Arabidopsis thaliana: one gene and its partner. The protein of the gene in region 2 interacts with the protein of the main gene of each other region in a biochemical or structural test. Each region holds a gene or a part of one and is shown on either strand. Other genes may lie near its edges.

The links.
Region 1: of the proteins of IBR5 (region 2) and MPK12, one has a biochemical effect on the other in vitro, tested with the Arabidopsis thaliana proteins (one study listed by BioGRID).

Annotation. Positions count from the first base shown.
Region 1 is NC_003071.7:18,944,797-18,950,480, forward strand, and holds MPK12 (mitogen-activated protein kinase 12), read right to left. Parts: upstream 3,272-5,684; 5' UTR 3,077-3,271; coding exon 2,808-3,076; intron 2,722-2,807; coding exon 2,592-2,721; intron 2,439-2,591; coding exon 2,301-2,438; intron 2,213-2,300; coding exon 1,880-2,212; intron 1,784-1,879; coding exon 1,600-1,783; intron 1,528-1,599; coding exon of another isoform or gene 1,505-1,527; coding exon 1,338-1,504; 3' UTR 1,141-1,337; downstream 1-1,140. Other genes in the region: AT2G46060 (transmembrane protein-like protein), read right to left, coding at 33-204; BPS2 (BPS1-like protein), read right to left, coding at 3,521-4,564.
Region 2 is NC_003071.7:1,586,158-1,591,323, reverse strand, and holds IBR5 (indole-3-butyric acid response 5), read right to left. Parts: upstream 3,132-5,166; 5' UTR 2,787-3,131; coding exon 2,541-2,786; intron 2,281-2,540; coding exon 2,181-2,280; intron 2,109-2,180; coding exon 2,051-2,108; intron 1,934-2,050; coding exon 1,827-1,933; intron 1,749-1,826; coding exon 1,486-1,748; 3' UTR 1,158-1,485; downstream 1-1,157. Other genes in the region: LpxB (transferases, transferring glycosyl groups), read left to right, coding at 1-50, 160-398, 473-699, 800-983. UniProt on the Arabidopsis thaliana protein: Required for the transduction of auxin and abscisic acid (ABA) signaling pathways. Dephosphorylates and inactivates the MAP kinase MPK12.

The sequences.
Region 1 (5,684 bases), about 17 Mb from region 2:
TGAAAAAGCTTGAATCTCAGATTAAAACAGACCTCTGATGTAACGTGTATCGTAGGGTCTGACTTCGGATTCAGGGTACCTGAAGCTCGAGACCGTGAAAAAGTTTCCATTATTGTCCGCAGCATCTTGAAGACAATTACAGATCGAAAGAGCACATGAAAACACGACGAGAGTTCTTAAAAGCAGAAACAAAATCTCTGCCATTGTAGGTGAAACTTTCTCTGAGAATTAAGGGTTTTAGACTCTTATTAGTGTGAGTAGAAGAAGAAGAAGAGAGAGCATCATCACTCGAGAGAATTTTCGTCGTCTTGATTGTTGAATACTGACTTTTTTTTTACATTTGTTAAATTTTTCGTCAGTTTTATCTCACGCGCCGCAACGGAAGTGTTGTAGTTACGCGCTGATCGAACGGTTGTTAAATGATTGGGATTTTTGGTAATGAAGAATCTTGGCGCGTGTCTTTTACACGGTATATCGGCGAGATAGGATCTTAGATATTCGGTTTAATATTTATCTGGTTTATATGAATAATATAGTACGTGTTGGTCAGAGACAAGAGTCATATAGGAACTTATTTATATTATTTTTTCACAAGAGAGATAATTTTATTGAACAAGACAAAACATTAGATGGACTATGTAATGCCCCACAACAGAAAAATAACAGATATATATTAGGCCAAACCAAGCCCATAATAGAAACTGCCCATGAAAAAAAGATATTTTATCTTTTGTCTCTCTCTATACAAAAAGGCTTTGATATTAATTTCTTTTAAATTAATTGGGGTGAGGGCCTTGATATTAATGGGCTTTTAGCGCCAATGTCTAATTTATAATCGACAACGACAGCGTTTTAAAATCTTAGACAACGGTATTAAAGTACATTTGTTCTCTGTTTTCTTCAAAAGGAAAAATACTATAATTATCAACATACATACATATCTTAGTACTTTTTCAGAGAAAGCTTCGTTGTGTGGGCGTGTGATATTTCCGATCAAGACAATGACAAAACTCTTGGTTTCAACTTCCGATCAATCTATTTGGCAATAAGTTCAAAAACTGTAATTTTACTAAACGAACTATTACACATAATACTCTGTTTTGGTAAACAGAATTTTTTTAAAATGCTATCATATATGATCAATAGTTTAAGAAATTTGATTTAAAGAAACTTGAGCTCTGCAGGGGCTTACGATATGGATAAATATGTGTGTATCATCATAGCAATTATTCAATCAAAGATAAAATGAGTTTAGATTCAATATAAAGGAATCTTAGATCAAACCAAACGGAGCAGACTTTTAAAAAGGAATCAAATCATTCAAACATGTTTCTCTCTCAGTGGTCAGGATTGAATTTGACAGACTCCTTGTAGATAAGCTCCTTTATGTGTTCTTCTGTGCAAGAAGGATGTTCGAAATCAAAGCTGAAAGGAGTCGAACAGACCGGTTCTTTGGCCACATCATGGTGCGGTGATAGGTAAGCATGGCCAAGGGCTTCATCGACTACACACACAACACATGCAGGTCTAATTGATAAGCCAAAAGCAAACTGCAAAAAACCACATGAATGTTTTAAGGATCTTTGTGTTGTTTGTTACCTGAGATGCGCCGGTTAGGATCAAAGACGAGCATTCTCTCAAGCAAATCGATAGCCGTAGTGGGCATTTTCGGGAATCTAGCAGCAAACTGTTGTTTCGGGTATCGCGGAAGTTGCCTGACGTATCTTCTTGCGTTGTCACTGCGAAGGAAGCCGAGGCTGGAATTGTCTGGAGAGCCTACAAGCTAATATCAAGAAATGGATATTAAGTGAAATCAGAATTGGGCATTGCAGTTTAAGAAAAGTGTAAAACTGATGCTTTTTTTACTTTACTGGTATACCTCTGTTATAAGCCTAAGCTGATGAACATAATCTTTGCCTGGAAACAACGGTTGTCCCGTCATGATTTCGCCGAGTATGCAGCCAACAGACCAAATATCAATAGCTGCGGTGTACTCTGAGCAGTTAAGAAGCAACTCAGGAGCCCTGTACCAACGGGTAACGACATATTCAGTCATGAAGTCTGTGTCGGAAGTTGTTCTTGCAAGCCCAAAATCACCAATCTTTAGCTCGTTTTTCGAGTTAAGTAGCACGTTGCTTGGCCTTAGATCACGATGTAATATGTTGGCCGAGTGCACGTATTTGAGCCCTCTTAAGAGCTGGTATACTAGGAACTGTAACAGGAAGACAAGTAAATAGAATAAAGATCAAATCAGAGAGTTCCATGACTTTACAAATGATTAGAACAACACAGAGACTTACACGGCATTGATCACTGGTCAGTGTTTGGTTAGAACGGAGGATTCGCTGAAGATCAGTGTCCATTAACTCATAGACAATGTAGACATCATTGAAGATATCTCGTTGCGGAGGTCTTACAATATCTTTGATGGTTATAACCTAAAGAATCAAACCGAGGCTTGAAGATTAGAGTAAACGAAATTATATATAAAGAGCATTTGACCCTGAAGATCAGGAACACTTGATAGATCTAGCAAATTTGAGAAACTTAAAAGATGTTGTCAAATGTGAGAAATGATGCTTAAGGCTTACGTTCTCATGATCCATATGCCTGAGAAGTTTAATTTCACGTAGCGTTCTCTTAGCATCGATGATGTTATCAAAAGCATTACCGATCTTCTTAATAGCCACTTTCTCTCCAGTCACTGAGTTCACCGCAGCACTGAAATTCAAGAATCAAGAGCCTGTGAACATTCAATAGAAGGAACGCTTTCATAATTTATCAGACAAAGAATCAAAAGAACTTACCAGACAATACCGCAAGCGCCTCTACCAATGGGACGAATAGGAGGGACATACTTTCTGGAAACTTCAAAGAGTTGTCCATAAACGTTGTACTGAACATAGCGGCCACCGTGTGTCGGTACAACTTTGATGCAATGTTCGGTAGAACCAGAGCTTGATTCTCCAGACATGATGATGCAATGATCAGACCGAGAACGAGAGAAACCAAGAAGAAGGGCTTTTGTTGAAGTTGAAGGATCTCCTAAAGTATCTCTTGAAGACACTAAATCCATGTGAAGAGAGAAGCTTTTTTCAACTGTAAAAGATCTCTCAAGGGACCCGTGAATCTAAAGATCATGAAAGATTACATACGTGTATGGTAACAAGAAGCAGAGTCACTCGATATTAGCTCAATATTGCATTTTTCATTTGTTACTACTAATTGCACTTAACTATAGATCAAAGCCTCTGATTTGTTCCTTTGATTGAAACAGGTTTAGAAAGATTGGATCACTACAAAGAGAGCAGTGATTTTTTCAAGCCAAACAGATGTATTCTATATTTATATTTTATTGCAGAATTGATTTCATACAGTCACACATACAAGACCAACACACCTAAACGGAAGAGACAAGCTCGACAGATGGACTCAAAACAAAGAAAAAAGAGAAAACACTATTTATAGAACCTAAAGCTGCCTTTTGTAAGGGTTAAACTTGTTTGTTTACCTCACTATTTTAGTCTACATCTTCTCCAACTGCATTGCCAGAGATTGAGTCACTTGACCTAAGATTACAGAGCAACACATCGCGCCCTCTCAAAGTCAGTTTAAAGAAACTATCAACTTCCTCCAGTAACTGATCCAACCCTTGAGACAATTTCTCAGCTTGTGTCCCCAATTCCATAACATTATCTTTGAAGAATTCAACTTCGACAGGATCAACGCCATCTTGGATCATCGGGTATAGCTTCTCGACACTAGCATCAACGCTCTCCAGCTCTTTGAGAATCGTGGTTCTACCGGAAGACAACATGTCTCTGATCTCAGCATTTACAACACTCTGCATATCAGTAAAGACCTTTGCCCATAATGGTTTTTCAGAGACAGGTAAATCGAAAAGATCCTTGGTGGAATCAGACCAGGCTGCGGTAAATACACTGCAGATATAAACTGTTTGAACCTTCACACCATAAAAAGCTCGCATCAGAACCTTTCCTTTAGGCGAGTTCTTGACTTTAGGCAGACTCAGAGATTTAACAAGACTGTCTAGAACCGCACGGCAGTTTTCAATTCTAGGGTTGTTTGTATTAACATGTTGCCTCCAGCTATCAAGCGAAGATCGAGCCTGGAGATACTTCTCCCCAGAATCCGATTGTAAATTGTGCAGAACACACTTGAGGAAGAGATCTCCCTGGTTGAGACGTGTGAGCTCAGAGCTAAAGGCATTACAGAGATCTAGTAACCTAACGCTTATGTTGAGGTAAACATCAACCCATTTCTCTTCCCAATCAGAGACAGGAAGCTGGAGATCAGTAATGAGAGTGTTAATGTTCTTATGAGTCTCGCAGAGTGACTCCATAGCTAGCTTCATCCAGGATAAAGTGAGGATGTCATCTTTGTTCTTAGGCATAAGTTTCTTCAGTCTCTCTTCCAAACGTAGCTCAAAGCCGTTCAATAGAGAAAGTAGCCATGGCGATAAATCTGATCCCTTTGATGATAACATCCGAAAGGGATTTCCAAATGGGAAGAAACCTCGGGGTGGATCTTGTGGTCGGCTCATTTTGCTAGACACCTGAAAATGAAAAGAGAAATATTGTTAGAATAATGATAATGATTAATCATACAAACCGATTTGCTGTGAACTCAATGTATCTTCTGTGTTGTTGCCACACATAGAAGGACTAATCGAGGAACAATACAATCCCAAGTCCCAACCTTAAGAGTCCCAAAAAGCTGACAACTTTTGAGATCTTGAAAAAAAAGAAGTTACCACCTTTATTGAAATGATGTAAAATCAAAATTTGAAGATGAAAACAAACACATAATCAATTGTTCTAAGCCATAATCTACACTTGAAGATGTCCAGAACCAAGGAATTAGGATAAAAGTTTCAATCTTTCCAAAATTAGAAGAACCCTAGGAGTTAATTATCTACACGGAAGTTTTGAACACAGAAGTTCGGTACAAACTCTTCATCGAACAGTAAAATCTATCTTAGAACTAAACACACAAACTTCGATTTACAGAAGAACACACACAATAAAAGGAGAATTATAGATAACAAAAAAAAACTCAATTTCCACGAAACTTACCGTTTTAAGTCGCCGGAAATGAAGAAATCACAGGGAAAATCGTGTGGAAATGATTCTTCTAATGCTTCATTGAATTTTCTGAGTCGATCGGCTGAGAAAAATGTCTGGCGGAGGTCGAGTTTGATAAAGCTACGGCCCGTCACATAAAAACTAGTTACAACCTTACAAGTATACCATTAGTGAATGGCTGTTACGTTTTAATTGGTCACAGCCTTGTGTGTAGTTAAATTCTTAGCGGAAAGTGGACGGCTATAAAATAATTAAAAGTTTTATCGAAGGGCCAAAAATGAGACGATTTCGTGGGATTATAAAATAAGTCATTGGTCGATTGGCGTAGTCTTTGTTTATTTTAATTATTATAACCAAATCTAACGGCTAACTAATACATACCACGTCCTACAGACTCCTGTTATTACTTTTAAAAATAAAAACTGAGAAGATTTAATCGAAAATTAATTTTGACGATTCATTATTATTTTTGGTAGTACTTTGCTTTTTAAAAAATTGTAAAATCCTCATCAAAAAAATTTCAGCAACTGTGAATATTTTTTAAAAGGCATAACAACTTTATTTGTTTTACGTAACGAA
Region 2 (5,166 bases):
GGAACTGAAACTTGAAGGCTTGAGTTTTAGCGAACACTCAATACCTTCTGGTAATGTGAAGTTTATCAAAATGATTTAACTTTTCTACAGATTGGATATCTACTTTTATTGATATCTCATTGTTCTTCTGCTGCATTGCATAACTTTTCATGAAACAAGACTCCACTGTCATTTCGGTTCTACCGGGGAGCAGATTACAAGAAGTTGAAAGAATGCTACCCATATTTTCCAAAGCAATGAAGCTACTCAAAGATCCGTTTCCAAAACTAGTAACGCTTATCCACGTCGCATCCAATAATCAAGTTGATCATTACATTGGAGAATCCTTCAGTGAGTGGCCAGTTCCAGCAATACTAGTCCCTAGTGGATCCACTCAGCTTAAATATGATGCCTTTGGCGTAAGTCTTTGAAACCTCGTTCTAAGTGTCTCATCTGTTTACTCCTCTCATTTTGCGGTGTTCCATAATAACAGGCGAGTCAGGCTGCATTATGCACTTCAGGAACAGTTGCTGTTGAGTTGCAGCTTGCTCATCTACCTTCCCTTGTTGCTTACCGAGCACATTTTCTAACAGAGCTATTAATCCGTTACAAAGCCAAGATACCTTATATTTCTCTCCCAAACATTCTCCTAGACTCCCCAATCATTCCTGAAGCTTTGTTTCAAGCTTGTAACCCTTCAAATCTCGCATCGATACTAGAGTATATCTTTTTCTTTTCACCCACTTTTACTTTATATTTTGTTATCTGGCAATTGAGAAATGGGCATGATGATGACGTGAGATGTTGTTTGAAACTGTAGGAGACTACTCTTGGATGAAAAGATGAGAGAAAGACAAGTTGTTGGTGCTGAGAAGTTGATACAGCTCTTGCATCCGTCAGAAAGCAGAATGGGCAACTCAATTCATTGCACTGGTTTGGAATCTCATCGATATACGCCAAGCATTTTAGCAGCTTCGACTATTCTTAGTTATGCCAGGCGTTAAAAACTATCGTGAGTCACATGCCTTTGTTTGATACTAGAGTACGCTGAGATACTTGCTATAATCTAAGGTTGAATTTTTTTCATAAGAGTTCTAACATATGGTAAATTACAGTTAAAGGCGAAATGATCCATGTAGATTAGAATGTCTCAGCTTATTTGGTTTGCAGTCTAAGACAAACAGTCAAAAAGGGCTTTCGAAAGCATAAAAGGATAAAGTGAAAGTATTGAATGTCTAAGCTTATCTGCTTTGCAGAAACAGATAAGATCCTACTAGTGTGGCTTGTCATAACTGGTTTAATAGTATATTTCGCTGTAAAGATCGATACAGAATTGTGGGAGAGTGAGGAATAAACCAGACAAAGATGCTTCCAATCTCATGTTCTCAAACCCCAAACTCTCTCAAGCAATGCACCAATCTCCATGTACAAAAAAGAAAAAGAAACATTCTCACAACAGTATATTTGTTGATGAAAATTCTTGCAAGAGTATATGATTATCTGGTTCTAAGAGCCATCCATTGCAATATCACCACCAGTTGTTGGCTTTGGTGGAGTTGCTCCAAAAGTGAACTCCTGAGGAGGGATACTTGAAGCAGGAGATGAAAATATAGAAGAAGTAGGAGCATTGTTGAACACAGGAGCTTGTGCTTGATTATCAATCTTAGGGAAACCAAACCCAAACGTTGGAGCATCATTAATATTCATCGCCGACATCATCTCAGATCCGAATATCCCCTGCTCAAACTCCTGCAGTTGTTGGTAAAACTCTGTGTACAAAGAAAAAGCAATGAGTAACAGTTTCAAGAACAATAAGTAAGTTTCTAATCCAAAGTCTAAGTACTTGCCTGGACTTATGTCAGTGCTTGGTCTCCGTTGTTTAACCCACTGATGACTCTCAGCGAGTCTCCACCCTTTTCGTTTCATCAAGTACGCTACAACAACCGCTGGTGATCTGTCATGTAATCGAAACACAAAACATATCACTCTATTAGTCTAAATAATTAATGGTAATCATAAGAAAGCAGCCGCAAGTTTAGGATGAGAGTAAGAGAATGATAAATGTACTCACCTACTTTTCCCAGACATGCAATGCACAAGAACACGTGCCTTGTCCTTCTCACATTGGTCTACACAAAGCAAGACCGTCAAGAAAAAATCATAAAGATGAAATCTAGAAACTTGAGATAGAATCAACATACCTAAGAACTTAATAGCATCATCAAACTGTAAAACTTTTTCATTATCAAGACCATGATAAGTGAATGAATTCCTGTAGAGATTCTGGCACATAGGAACCGTCTGAAACAGAGTAACAAAAACAGAGTCAATACCAACAAATAGTAAACAACACATTCCTCTCTATTACCATAACAGGAACTTTAACAGAAACCATAAGTCAACAAAACGTATAAGTATAAGAAAGATTCATCTACAAGGCAAAACCCTAACTAAACAAACCGATTCAAAGATTCAAAGATCTTATCTTTTTCTTAAGGGTCATCATCAATGTTTAAAACAAAAGCAATTCATGAATTCAAAATCAAAGCAAAGAAACTCACATTAAGAACACGAGAGATTCCTTGAGTCTTAAGAAGCTCAGAGCGAGAAGCGTTGTCGTAACTACCGAGGTAAAGAAACTCAGGGAGAATCTCCGACGGAAAAGCACTGACGTGGACTTGTTGCGGCGCCACCGTATCGGAAGAAACAGGCATACAGTGACCACAGACTCCACATACTTCTCCTTCCTCGTACTTATGGTAATGCCCACAAATCGAACAAGGGTTCTCTCTTTCTCTCTTCCTCATAATTTGATTTCGAAAATTAAACCTAGATCTGATTTCTGATCAAAACCCAGATCAGAGAAAACCCTTGATTTCACAGACGGAGGAAATTAGGGTTTGGGTTTGGAGAAATTTGTTTGAACGGAAGAATTGGGAAGGACGGAGAAGAAGGAGAGACTTGAGAAGAGAGTTTTTTTTGTATGAAGAATTGTTTTCTTCTTCGATGGGATTAATACTGATTCGGATAGATACGTGCCACGTGGAGTTTAGATTTATGTAAATCTTCTTTAAACAGTCTCTCAGTTTAACAGGTTCTGTAATAGATACGGGAGAGAGAGGATCTCTAACTGAGTCAAAATTGTTAACTGAGCCATTTATTGCAGATTTACTTTTCTTTTTTTTTGTTCAGGATTTACAGTAAAAATAAAAAAGAATTTTTTTTTTTTATTTAAGTATATAGTCCATTTTTTTATTTAATTTTAAATTTCCAATAATATTAAATCAATATACATGACAAAACGTTTAAATAAAGTTACAGGCCCAAATACACAATAAAAACCGAAATTAGGCCGCATGTCCAAATAGATGGCAAAATGCCAAAAACCGAAACAAGGCTCCAGGTCCAGAAGAGAAACCAACTGAATCTTCTACTGAAAAACGCCAAACCAAGTGACAAGGAGAGATGGACATGGGCGGATGATCTGTTGAGCTCTTGATAAGAGATCGAGGTGACAACAGAGGATGTTTTTGATCTCAAGAACAACTGTAGAGGCAGGTTTCCATATATAGTCCATTTAATGATTGGATTTTGCTAATTCTGTTAGGGATATTGTTTTATGCTAATTTCATACTTATTATTATGTTAACTTGGTTTTAAAGGGTAAAGTAAAAGTTTAAATAATAAAGTTATTTAAATTTCTTTTATTTTTGTTGTCGACCGCTAATAATTTAGCTTAAAAGAGTCATTCCTAAGAAATGTTGTTTACATAGGTAATATGATGCGGTTCGATACGGATTTTTCTTGTCAAAGAATCCGCTATAATATTTACACTACCAAAAATTAAAGATGAAGAAAAACTTGTGAATTCTTTCTTATTGTTCCGTAATTCCTCCAAATACTCTGAGAAAGTCGTCCATTCGGTTGGAGAAGACACTATATTCACCAGGTCTGAACAGTTTGTAAAAAGTTATTTAAACTTTATTAAATACGAGAACAGTATTTGATAAGGGAAACTGAAATTAAATTATTTATTTTACAAAATTTAATAAATGTGACTTCTCGCAACGTCAAAAATATATGTACATATATATATATAATAAATGTTACGCAAATTATGTAGAATTCATTGTCATTATGTATGCATAGTAATTAACTTTTTTACGTCTACATAAACGATTTCGATCGTTGTAAATGACATTCATTATTTCAATTACAAGAGAAGTAATAAAACATTTTTCTCCTCTTTTGTCTCTTTACTATTTAGTATTTTGATCACTTTACAAGTTTAAAAATAATCTACTATTTATATTTATATCCACCATAAAAATAATTCACTTATTTGTAACAATTTGTAAATTTATAATTCGCTATAAGTGTTAAAATATAGGAGATTGACATAAATGACACTAAAAAGGTTTATTATTGCAAAAATGACACATTCTTTTAAAACTTGTACAAATAGCACACAAAAATTTTAATCCTCTAAAAATTAATTAAAATAAAATATAGAAAATACACAATATCTAATCTCATTTCTTCCAAATCCAACAGCTTTGCCTTCGAAAAACCCGACGACTTCGTCGCTCACCGGATCAAATCTGAAATCTTCAATGACACTCTCAACTAAGCCCTTGAATGAGATATTCTCATCTACCTCACAAAGGGATCCACCTTTGTTTGTGTCTACAAGAAAACCCACTAAAACTTATCATTTTGTTCACACTCTCCACAAACAGAGTATATCTCTACCATTTATATACCAACCCTAAAGAAAGCAACAACTAATACAATAAACAAACTAGAAGATCTATAGTATAAAAACACCAAAAATCTACAAAACTTTCAAATACTTGGACATGACTTACAATTATTTCAGAGATTCGCTTGTTTTTTAATGTTTGTGGATGATATATTCCTGAGACAACAAGACTAGCTGCACAAAGAGGCAAATATGTCATGTTAGGTGTTCAAAATCGATTGATTTTGATGCTTATTTGCAGTGAATCAATTCACGAATCAACAAATTCGCCTAATTCCACATTGAACGCCCATTATACCAATATTAATCGTCTAATTTCGTTTCCGAAACGTTTCGAAAACGAGAAACGCACTACGGGAAGAGTTCCCATGCAACATAGATTATTATTAATAGAGCCAAAAAAACCGGACACTAGTAAACCAAAA